Coturnix japonica: one gene and its partners. The protein of the gene in region 3 purifies or fractionates together with the protein of the main gene of each other region. This does not show direct contact. Links are inferred from orthologs where the notes say so. Each region holds a gene or a part of one and is shown on either strand. Other genes may lie near its edges.

What was found.
Region 1: the proteins of PLCG1 (region 3) and KHDRBS1 purify together in Homo sapiens (affinity purification with western blotting; 7 studies listed by BioGRID and IntAct, with this or other methods). This does not show direct contact. The link is inferred for Coturnix japonica from reciprocal best matches to the Homo sapiens genes PLCG1 and KHDRBS1.
Region 2: the proteins of PLCG1 (region 3) and RASA1 purify together in Homo sapiens (affinity purification with western blotting; 3 studies listed by BioGRID and IntAct, with this or other methods). This does not show direct contact. The link is inferred for Coturnix japonica from reciprocal best matches to the Homo sapiens genes PLCG1 and RASA1.

Annotation. Positions count from the first base shown.
Region 1 is NC_029538.1:4,473,847-4,477,448, reverse strand, and holds part of KHDRBS1 (KH domain-containing, RNA-binding, signal transduction-associated protein 1), read right to left. Parts: intron 3,216-3,602; coding exon 3,069-3,215; intron 1,361-3,068; coding exon 1,224-1,360; coding exon of another isoform or gene 1,158-1,223; intron 321-1,157; coding exon 101-320; intron 1-100. UniProt on the Homo sapiens protein: Recruited and tyrosine phosphorylated by several receptor systems, for example the T-cell, leptin and insulin receptors. Once phosphorylated, functions as an adapter protein in signal transduction cascades by binding to SH2 and SH3 domain-containing proteins.
Region 2 is NC_029547.1:54,365,722-54,369,920, forward strand, and holds the start of RASA1 (ras GTPase-activating protein 1), read right to left. Parts: upstream 2,809-4,199; 5' UTR 2,570-2,808; coding exon 2,181-2,569; intron 1-2,180. UniProt on the Homo sapiens protein: Inhibitory regulator of the Ras-cyclic AMP pathway. Stimulates the GTPase of normal but not oncogenic Ras p21; this stimulation may be further increased in the presence of NCK1.
Region 3 is NC_029535.1:4,195,363-4,199,418, reverse strand, and holds the start of PLCG1 (1-phosphatidylinositol 4,5-bisphosphate phosphodiesterase gamma-1), read right to left. Parts: upstream 2,900-4,056; 5' UTR 2,808-2,899; coding exon 2,618-2,807; intron 1-2,617. UniProt on the Homo sapiens protein: Mediates the production of the second messenger molecules diacylglycerol (DAG) and inositol 1,4,5-trisphosphate (IP3). Plays an important role in the regulation of intracellular signaling cascades.

The DNA of each region.
Region 1 (3,602 bases), on a different chromosome or scaffold from region 3:
TGCAGTACTCTTGGTTGTGGCCTTTAGGTCCAGAAGGTTCAATAACTAAACACAAGACCAGCCATGTGGAATAACACCCAAGGGTAGACAGGATCCTTACGTATTCCTCGTAGGTTTCTGGCGCGGGAGGAGGAGGAAGTGGTATCCGCTGGATGCCGGCTGCACGTGCTCTGGGTGCAGGAGCACCCCGGACTGCTGGGGGGGGAGGCACCCCACGGGCTACAGCTGCTCCCCGGGCAATGGCACCACGCACCGGGGCTCCTCGCACCATGGCCCCCCGGGGAGGAGGCGGCGGAGGGGGAGGACCGACACCACGCCCCCTGGAAGGAGAGGAGAACAACTGTGAGCTGCTATTGCTGTACAGCTGCTTACAGCAACCCTAGAACACAAGTGCTTGATAAATAAATCTGGTTACCATTCGTTAAGCTATGGATTACTTGTCAAGAATGAATTGTTAATACTGTATTGCATCAATTAAAAAAAAACAACAAAAAACACTCTTCTGGGATGGGAACACCAGTGCATTACACGCTGTGCAGGAATAAACCCAACACAGAGCATTGGCTGAGGGGTTTCTCAGAGCTCCTTTCCAGCTGCCCTCTGTCACTGACCAGCAACGACTGCCACCCCTCCAGCACTGTACAACCAGCGCTGAGGGGAGCAGGGACACTTCTGGGATGGACGGTCAGACAGAAGTACAGGCCACCCCTGTGAAATACGTAGTGAAGTGACTACAGCAACGGAGTGTTACCACCAATTCATCTCAGCGCCTCGACAGCAGTGACAGAACAACACCACCCTGTGACTTTCACAGGAAGGTCAGTTTAAACTGAAAATATGTATTCTGCTGGAGGCTGCAGAAGCAAACACAAACACAAACCATCTGCACGGCATTCTAAGGCCGACTTTCTCTTTAAAAAACAATCTTCTAGCTATTCTTTCCTCTTTTAATGGTTACTTTACGATGCTGATGATTTCAGACAGCAAAAGTAATAAGGAAGACATCCACTGAGCTAGATCATAACTACTGTAACTCCAAACATGCAGAATATTTGATGGCAGCTTGCTAGAGCAAGCCTGCAAAACAAGGCTAGAAAGCATTGGCCAAAAGCCAAGGTCAAAGTCAACAGCTGATGTACAAGAATAAGCAGCTTAACCTGATCTCGCAGCACCACTCTGAGCAAGATGCAGCATTTCCAGGTCCATGCTTTTGGGAAAGGTACCTTGGAACAGGTGGAGGTGGTGGTGGAGCTGCTCCCCTTCCCCGCACAGGGCCTCCTCGGCCACGAGTTGGCTCTGGTACACCGTTCAGGTAGGAGAGCTCCAAGAATTGCTCCTGACAGATATCATCCATCATATCCTAAAGAGGGGAGAGAGTCAGCTCCAAAGAGCAGCTAACTACAGTCTCTGCTTCAGGGTACCATAAGCCACCGTGCTGGAATAAACATGACCCAACGGTCCTAAATGAAAACCTGCTGGTTGGTTTCCCTGGGATCTTCTCAGCAGGCAGCAGCACACAAATGCCAGCTTACTCCAAAACAGCTGAGAAGAGCACAGTACTGTGTGTGTGCTGCAGATGGTCCCTGGGAAGAGGACCTGCTTGTGGGAGCTCTGGAGGCACCCGATACTCAGCACCCCAGGGACACTGGCAGGATTTATTTGCAAATGTTGGAGAGTTCAGAGGTTAAGTCAGGCAAGATATATCTCCCCTCAAGCACCCTACACTCCCATTTAAAGGCAGACAGGTGGCAATGAGCCCACATAACATAACAGCATACTGCAGTGTCCCTGACACGCTAAAGGAACAGGAGAGGATGCAGCCTGACGAAGAGTAAATAGCAATTTGCAAACGCAGGCTGTCTTCTCGCAGTCTCATGAACACAGAAAGCTTCTGCTCTGTGTGTTTTTATCACCCCAGGGGATCCAGCTTCAGGAATTAGCCGAGTCCCTGGTGAGCCATCAGAGGTCCTTGCAGCCCACCCCTCCCTGAGCACACAGAGGGGATCTTCATGCTGCCATAGCAACTCCACAAGGCAAGGAGTCTCCTGCCAGCTGCGTCTTCACAGCACTGCTGGCTTCCATAGTGACTGCTCTGACAATTTTCACAAGTTTAACACATTGTTTGAAGGCACTGATAGATAAGACTCTTTAAATAGCAAGGCTACACACTTGCCTTAGCAAGGCAGAGTTCTGTACATCCAAGGGTCTCCTTGAAGATGACCTCTTTCCTTCAAAGGCTCTTCACACAGTCATCTCTCTGTGTCAGACATATGGAAACCACCCAGCCACCATAAGCTTTGCCACGCTTCCCCATTACCTACAGCTCTTGGATTCCACCCACCCTTTTTGTTTCAGACAGAACATCTGAGCTCTCCCATCTCAGCTGGTGTGCACTCAGCTCTCTGCCTGCTAGAGCTCTGAATCACAGGCTGGACTAGCCAGAAGCTGGGAGCTCTGTGTGCTTCATCCCCATCTTGTTTTCTTCCCAATTTGGTGAGCAATACCTCCATTTCAATAATGCATGTGAGGTTCCTCCAGGCTCTGCAATTCTAGCTTTGTTGTATTACATAATGTAAGACTAACATCAAGTTGAACGTGAAGGTCTCAGAAACTTCACCAACAGAAGAAATCCCCCAAAAGACAAGAAACATCAGTTGTATACATGTCTGAGCACGAAGAGGTCCCTTCACATCTTACCAACTTAAAGCTATGGAAATATTGATTTAACAGCTGTGTCTCAGAAAATACCTACAACACTTGGTACATTGCTCCCAGGCTCCTGGGCAGCCATACTCCTCACTATCAGGTCACAGCAAACACTTCTGTGTACAGAGCTTCTGTTCTGACCAACCCTATGGAAATCTCTTCCGTGCCAAACACAGACAATTATTCACCTGCTAACACTGACATATGGAGCTGGACAAGCTTTCCATCCCATGTCCATAGTTAATACTGGAAAGAACTACCTATTTCAGGTTTGTTGTGCTACTGCCCTGGTAGTGTTCCACTTTGAGATTGATACTGCACATCTATCTCCTTAAATAAGCAAAGAGCAGCAGTATACATACTGGGACAAGGAACTTCTTGACTTCTTCCATGGCATGAGCCATCAGAGCATATGCTTCACAAGGGGGCCCAAAGACTTCAATGAAGACATGCAAATCCATATTTAGATGAGCATATTTAGGGTCTCCCCCTTTACGCAGCTCTTCCTCCTGAAAAAAAGCATATCACAGAATCCTAAATTAAACAAGATGTAGAAAAACTGCTTTTCTTTTCCTGTTTCCTAAGCCTTAGCAGGCTGAAAAAGCATTTTAGCTGTGTCTGCTCATATCGATCACGTTAACACCCTATGCACATGACTATACAGTTTAACAAAAAGCCACAAGCACACCCTGCAGGCCTCCTCCAGCTTTTCACAGCTGCCTTTCCAGGTGACTGCGATGTCAGAGTAAATGCAATGATGCCAGAAACTTTTCCCACTAAGCACACAGAAGCGATGTTCTGTTCTACACCCCCTACTGCCTGAGGTGTTCTTCACAGTGGAAGCGAAGTCTGATATCTCACTCATGCTCTAATTCTGCTCTTGGATATCTGTGTTA
Region 2 (4,199 bases), on a different chromosome or scaffold from region 3:
GACAAATTTAATCTTAACTATAAATTCAATCATTATTCCTAAAGAATTATAGCAAACCTTTCCCTGTATAAGATTATAGATAATATTGATCTTTGTTTTGATAATAAATCAGGAGTTTAATTCCATAGAAGCAGATGGTACATCTACAAAGAAAGGGCCCTTCCAAAATAAAACAGCAGGACTGAGAGGATGCGATTTACTATCAGCATATGGCCAATCTGAATGACTTAAATAAGAACGATGAAAACTGACACCATAAAGGAGCTGAATGAGAGAGAAACACGGTTCTATTCAATCAATTTTTTATTGAAAAGTCACACTCCGAGGGTTATGTGGCAAAGGAAAAGCTGTTAAGAACACAGAGTAGGGAGGTACGTGTACATTTTCCACAATACTTGATTTGTTGTGAAGGATTCTCTTTTATGAAGAAAGCTCAGCTCACAGTTATGCCCTGGTTCTGCAAAGACTCCTGTCTCCCTTTTGTCTGAATAAGGTACTGTTAACCAGAGCAAATTAGGGCCTGCACAGCCTTCCCCTCAGCACACACTTGTCAAAGCACTTAAAGACAGACATCACTCCAGCACTTCAGTCACAGGACAATGCTCTGACAGCAAATCCCACTCCTATTAGCATATGTCCATATTGCATATTTAGGACCGAACAGGTGGTCATTTACAATCTGTCACCCCATTTCCTAAAGATACTTCCAAAAAGGACTCTCTCTCTCTGACTAACATAACTGGATCTAATGGAAAAAGCAGTCTGATCTATTTTCAGAGAGAAAACCAGAAGTACAGAATTGTGTGCTCCAGTGATTTGACAACCCTGAAGAAGTAATTTCACATTCGTGTGCCTCTATTTCCCTCCTGATCCTTTGTCAGAACTGCCTGATCATATTTCCAGCTCATTAGTGACGCCAGTCAAACACTGTTCAAACACTGCCTTAAGTTAGCAAACTTCTACAGAAAGTCAAGAAATCAGGAGATTACAGGGAAGACTGTCAAAGCGAGAGACATGAATTTAAAAGGGATTCATATCGGTACATTTTTATGTCCTCCTGATGACTTTAATGATTCCTGAAATCATGGAAATACACGAATGGTGCAGAAGTCTCTTAAGAGTGGTACTGGGAAAGAATGTAACAAAGAACCCAAACTCAGATGGGCTTTCAGGTCGTCCTTCTGATCCACGCCTTGAAACTATCTACCAACCCTCATGGTTTCACACAATCAGACTCCTTAAGGTTGGAAAAGCCCGCTATGAACATCTAGCCCAACTGTTTCAGTACCTTGAAACCTTACATTATCTACTATCCTCAGGAAACTTCAGGAACAACACATTTCTAGACACTACTTGGTGCAACCAATAGAGCTTCTGAAGCAACTCCATTTTTTAAATAGCCAGGCACCCTCCCAGAGAACTGTTTTCTGTACTGAAACGGGGCTTGAGGTGCTACACACAAACCTGCAGACTTCCTATGCTTCAGCCCAAAGGTTGTGCATGGAGTGCTCATTAATTACACAAACTACACACAGCATTATCTGATCCTACATTTTTCACACAATATAAATTGAGAACTGCTCTGCTCAGAGTGCGAAATTCTGTTACCAGCACCACAGGACATCCATTCACCTTAAAACAGAGATAACAGAATGAAATCCAACAGGAGGTTTGCAGGATTTTCACCTCTGCCTCCTGCCTCCATACAGACAAACCAACATCAGCCTCGCTTTAAACTGGCTGAGCAGCAAAGTCAGGCGCTATTCTGTAAGCACAGCCCGCCCACTATTTTAAAGTAGAAGAAGAATTCTACTCATTTCCAACCCGCGTTCCAGAGTGAGCAAACCTCACCCTCCCTACTCCACGAAGGCAAACACGTGCGTGCAACCTTCGTGATATTCCTGTATGAAATAACAAAAAGGCTGGGGTGTTCTTTGTGCTGTTCTTGTTGCTTTTTTTTAAGGTATAAACAACGGAATGCAAAGGGATGACACGAGGAGAGCAGCGCTTTGTACAGCGGGGAGGTCTCCGCCTGTTACAAAGTTAGCGCCGCAGTCCCAGTCTGTCCGGGAGCCGCCCGGGCCTCCCCCCGCCGCACGGACACGCGGCGCTGCGCGGAGCCGCGCTCTTCCTGCGCTCCGGGAGCGGAACCGAGGGGGGTGGGGGGCCGCGGTACTTACTGGTTGGTGGGGGGCGCGTTCAGCGGGATGGCCACCTCCTCCTCCTCGTACTCCGGCCCGTCCAGCGAGTCGCCCTCGTCCACGGCCGCCAGCCCTCCGGCCGGGGGTAGGGGCGGCGGCGGCGGCGGCAGCGGGGGGAAGGCGGCGGAGCCCGGCTCGCTGGGCGGTGGCGGGGCTCCCGTGGAGCCGAGCGCCAGCAGCCCGAGCGCCGAGCACAGAGCCGGGCCGGCGCCCGGGCTGTCCCCGCCGGAGCCGGAGCTGGAGCCGGGCGCGAAGGGGCCCTGCGGCCCCGGTGCTTTGCCTCGGCAGTGCCCCGGCTCGGCGGCGGCCGCCGTCCCGGCCGAGGTAACCGAACCGCCGTCCTCAGCTCCGGCCTCGGCCGCCATCATGTTGAGCCTCGCCCCCCCTCCCGTCCGCCGCTCGCCCTCCCGCCCGCAGCCGCCGCCGCCGCCGCACGCCGGGGAGGTGGCGACAAAGGGGCCCCGGCCCACCCCGCCCCGGCGGGGAGCGGAGCCGGGACGAGGGCAAAACTGTCCCGGCGGAGACGGGCCGCGAACAATACCCGGCTGGGCGGGGGCTGCGCGCTCACGGCGGCTCCGCAGGGCCCCGGCGCGGCTGCCTCGGCCCCGCCGGCCGCCAGGGGAGCGGCTCGGCCGCCCCGCGCTGTGCCCGCCCCCGTGCGCCCGCCAGCCGGGAGGGGGGAAGGACGGAGGCGGTGGGACGGGCCGCGCATGTGCGCCGCTCCCCAGCCTCGTCCCTATGAGCGCGTGCGTGGAGCTGGGCGGGGCAGGAGGGGGAGCGGCCGCACCGCGTGGGGGAGGAAAGTGCGGGGTAGGAGCGGCCCGAGCCGCCATGGTGTGCGGCCAAGGGGCGGCCATGGTGCGCCCTGAGGCTGAGCTGCCTTTGGGAGGGAAAATAGAAGAAAGTATGGGGAGTAAAAGCCAGGAGAGGCGGCAGGTGGCGCGGGGGCACGGCGGGAAGGGACGGCGCGATCGGGGCGTGCTGAGCCCGTGCTTTGTGTGTCCCCGTTATAGCTGCACCGCCGTGTGCTGCGGGAGGAGAACAGCGCATCGCCTGCAGCCGCTGTGTGACCGCACTGCCGCCCGTACTCCATTGCCGGTTACTCCGTTACCGTGCTGATACTTCTCTCATTATCTTCTTTTTTTCTTCTTCTTCTTTTTTTCCCTCCCCCCCCATAATAAAAGAGCTGACAAATAGCAGCACGTTGACACTTGCACGCCTCTCCAAAGTTCTCAGGAGGCATCTAAACATTCAGGTTTTCAAAGCCTTGTGTTACCAAAAGAATTAAGTGAATTTCTCCCCAGGCCACTAAAACAAACTCCTACTCGCGCTTCCACCGCCCTGCAGACAAACCTCCTTTTATCTGCCGAAACGAACCTTCCTATCTTGCCTTCTGAAGGCAGGATCCCATTCCAGGTCCTGCAGCGCTGCGAGTACCCGTGGGACTCTGCTGGGCTCGTGCCCGGTGTCAGAGCAGACGCTGTCTGCGTCCCTGGGCTCACAGAATGGCAGCGCGTTCATGCCCTGCTGTGCTGGTAAAGAAATTACAGTCTCAACAGCCATCTCTTACGGGCTTGGTTTCCACGTTGCCATATTTCAATCGGATATGTAATTCCACGTTGTCTTGCAGCCCACTGGCTCCGTGGGCTTCTGTTTAATGCTGTTTGCTTTCTCCTACGGGTTTTTAAATAAAAGGATTTCAGCACAGTCTTGTTGTTAAAATGATATTCCTAAACATAGAGCTGCAGTGTAAATATTTATGATTGCTTCGACGAAACACGCTTTTTTAACTGACTTAAAGGGGCAACAGCATGCGCATATAAGCATGGAGACCAGGGCATCTGTGCTCTGAATTTCCTGCAGCACTCCTCCAATAGATTTAATCTGGGTAGAGCAGTTCTAAGTGTGGCAAGGGTTCCACAGAAAGGTAATTTCTTGTGAGACTGGCCGAGTTGTTTCACCCCTGCCCCTGACACGCTGCTTCTTTCTACTTTGCCA
Region 3 (4,056 bases):
CCCTTTCCTTCAGGGCAGCAACCACGTGCAGACCTGGCCTCCATCTGCAATCTGCCAGATAGGCAGCAGGCCGCCCTCCTGCTCTCCTGGAGCCATAGGACACCGATGGCCATCGCTGGTGGCCGCACGCTGCGCCCTGATAAGATAACGGGGCCGAGCGGGCGCTGTGCTGGCACTGATAGCAGCGACCACCCCGTGGTGCACACAGCAGTGCAAAGGGCAGCAGAGGTCAGCAGCAGGGGGGGGCTGCTCTGCTAATGGGGCACACACATTCCCAGTCCTGATGGGAATCCAGGGCTTTCTCGAGGTGTTTACCCCCTTCCTCCCCTCCTTTCTCTCTCTCCTATAAAACAAACATCTGCTCCAAATTTGCAGCTCGTGCTCTGAGCAAACTCTCCGAGTTTTCAGACTCGGTTCAAGGAAAACAGATCAATTAGGAGCCGGCCCGCAACCCCCCCAGGATGCAGAGTTATGAAGGCAGGACCTTCTTACATTAAAAAAGAATTACATAACACAGGAAGTAGGGGGGAAAAAAAAGTGCATAAAAGACAAAAGGCTCCGGGGATCAGCTGTGCTGAGCTTTGGGTGATTAACTAAAGGCACAGAAAATGATCAGAGCTCTTCCCACCGAAGCAGCCCGGCCCTCAGCGGGGTTATTAGCAAGAAGGTGATGCGCTGATAATGGGAGCTGGCTGAAAACATTGGGCGTAGAGACAAATATTGATGGAGAAATGGCTCCGTGTGTGTGTGTGTGTGTGTGTGTGTGTGTGCACAGATTGTGCTTTTTGTACACGATGTTGGGTTTGGAAAGGCACAGAGATGGAGCTCACAGCTTTCCAAGCGAGATGCTCCCCCCAGTCTGACCCAACCCCAGAGCAGCCCAACGAGGAGCAGAGATGGGCCCATGCACACAGAGGAGGTTCTTCATCCCGGCCCAGCTGGCGGTGCCGCTGCTGAGTCAGAGCTGCTGCTGCTGGGAGGGCAGGGGACCCGCTGGCAGTGAGTGCTGCCCATCACACAAGGTCACTCTTTATGTGACACAAGGCTCTACACAAGGGTCACCCAGCCAGGCCCCCCCTCCTCCTGGCACCAAGGTATCGCACTGACATCCCAACCAGGGTCACGCTAACAGTGACCTGCCTGAGCCTCTGTGTGTACTGAGCACCAGCACTGATGATGCCCAACCCAACATCCCTCCGACCCAACCTCACTGCTGCTGATGGCAGGACGTCCTGCACACAGAGCTTTGCTGCTGCACCGAACACTCACGGAGATGAAACTCTCCCACAGAGGGATGTGACCCAAGTCTGAGAGCTCTGTGTTACTTGTAGACGCTCCCTCATTTTGAAATGGGCCGAAGGATCATTAAGGTTTGAAAAGACCACTAAGATCCCCAGCCCGTCCCACCGTGCTCACTGAGGGCTCCATCCATGCTGTGCCATGAGCACAGAACGGCTGGTCCCAGCAGTAGAGTGCACCGCATGGGAGGGAACCTCAGCTTGGAGTTCAACAACCCCCGTTTTTCTTTAGCTCAAAACCTATGGATCTTTACAGTTATGCTTATTTGATCATCTCTGTCCCTGGGATGAACCCTCTGCTTTTTTCTGCCCCGCTCCTGGCTGTTGGCAGAGCAGCAGAACCCCACAACCACATCAACGGCACAGCTGAGGTTTGGGGGATGGATGGATCCCTTGGAAGGCACAGCCCCAGCCCCACAAAGACTCATGAGGGTCTGTCCGTGGGGAGGAGGGAGCCTGAAAGCTCCGTGGGGAGATGGGAGAGATGTTGTATCTCACCATCCCTATATGGGGCGGCCATTGGGAGACACAGCGCTGGAGATGGGGACTGAGAGCACAGAGCAGGACAGCAGCACCGGGAAGTTTCCCAGCTCTGGGCCTCCCCCCGCCCCTTCCCACCTCTCCCTGTGGTCTCCCACAGCTCTGACAAATCTCTGCCCCCGCAAAGCACCGTGTGCGGGAAAGAGCCGCCGCCAACCGCGTCCCACTGCAACCCTACAGCCCTGCAACCCTACAGCCCTGCAACCCTACAGCCCTGCAACCCTACAGCCCTGCAACTCTGCCGGGGGCTGCAGCGAACCCGGCGGTGCCGAACCCGGCGGTTCCCCATCCTCGGCCGCGCTCGGCCCCGGTTTACGCTCCTTCCATCCCATCCATCTGTTGCGCTCGGTCGCAGCACACAGGACGCTCGTGCAGCCCCTTTCGGCAACGAATCCCGCACGGAGCCGGGACGGATCCGAACCGAACCACACGGTGCGGAGGGGCTCGGGCTGCCCCAAGATGGGGGGGGGGGCACCGAAACCGGACACCGTCACGTGCGGCCGCGGGATGCGCACGGAGCTGCCCGGGGGATGGTCGGGGGGCGGAGGGTGCGGGGCTCCTTTTGTCTTTCTCCCCCCCAACCCCCTGTTCGCTTTTTCCCTCCCCTCCCCGCCGAGCCGGGGGTGGGTGAGTGGGGGCGGGAGGGTGCGGGGAGGTTCCCACCGCCCCCAGCCCGCAGGAAGCAGGAACACCTCGTCCTGCTTTTCCTGCCCGGTGCCGCGTTCCCAGGGCGGGGAGGCGCTGCTTGGAGCTGGGGGGTGGTCTCGGTTCTCACTCACCGGCTCCCTCGGTCTTGTCGGAGCCGCGGCTCCAGGTGACCTGCCGCGTTTCCAGCTTCACCTGGAAAGTTTTCCTCTCGGGCCGCTGCGACTTTTTGGAGTAGAAGAGGGTCATGACGGTGCCCACCTCCAGGCTGCGGCACAGATGAGCCGCCTCCGCCTCGCTGGGCGCCCCCGACCCCGCCGCCATCAGCGCCCGCCGCTTGCACCGCGCTGCAACGCGAACAAAGGGGAGCGGAGCGCCCGCAGCGCCGCCACCGCGCCCCGACCCGCGGCCGGGAGCTGCGGGAGGAGGAGGAGGAGGAGCCGAGGGGCGGAGCGCGGCCGACGGACGGCGCCTCCACGCGTGGGGCCCGAGACGTGCGGGGGAGGCGGGGAGCGGCTCGTGGGTGGGTGGGTTGGGGCCGCCGCTCAGCTCCGCTTCAGGCGGACCCACGCGTGGGTAAAGCTGTTGAGATGAAGCGCCTCGAGGTGGCTGTGGGCACGGAGGAGCAGGTGATGGCGGTGGCGGCTGCCCGGGGCTGCGGGCATAGAACCCCCCTGTCCCCCATCCCGGCCCCCCGGCCGCGCTCAGCTGGCTGCCAGATGTGAGCGGCCAAACGCGGTGTGGGGGCCGTAGGGGCAGAGGGCACGGCAGTGGGTCAGCGAGGGGCTCGTAGCTCGCAGTGTCCCCCGGTGTGTGGGGCGGCCATGGGGGTGGGTGGCTGCCGGCACCCTGCAAAGTGAGCTGCTGCCTCTGTGCTTGTGCTCCACCAGGCTCCAAAGGGACACACTGTGAGCCATCCCTCCTACGTGAGCGCCCAGGAATCGCTGTGCACCGTGGCAGGAACCAGCACTAAGAAGCCCACCCCAGTCTCCAGCGAACAGCAGCACTGGGGCTGTTGTAGCCCAGGATGGAAGCGGTGCCAATATGGTGCTTCTCCTCCTGAGCTCTCCAAAGCCCTGCAGGGTTACTGCAGCCCCCGGATCCCTCCAAGAACACAGGCTGCTTTTGCCTCTTGGCTCACCTGGTTTCAATTTGCAGCCTGTGAGGCCACAGGGGGGATGGGGCTGCAGCCAGCAGGGTTTGCAGCCTTCCCTGTGCTGCCCGCAGCGCAGCTGGGCTGGCAGAGCAGATCCAGTTCCAAGGTGTTTCACCCTTTCTGCTCCCATCAGTGTTCGCTGCCTCAGTTTCCCCCATGGGAGAGTCGTGGGCTCAGCCCCAGCACTCAGCAGTGTGGGATGGGAGGTTGGTTGGGGCAGGCTGCAAAAAGAGATTTCTCACATGCTGTGTTCTATGGATACAAACCTCAACTCAGCCCTGCTGCGTCCATCCCAGCCCTGCCATCCCCCAGTGCTCTGCGTGGCTGTTGGGGTGGCTGAGCCCCTCTCCTGGTTATGGGGCAGGGTTTAGGGTTAGGATGGGGCCCTGTGTGACAGACCACACGGACAGCAACGCT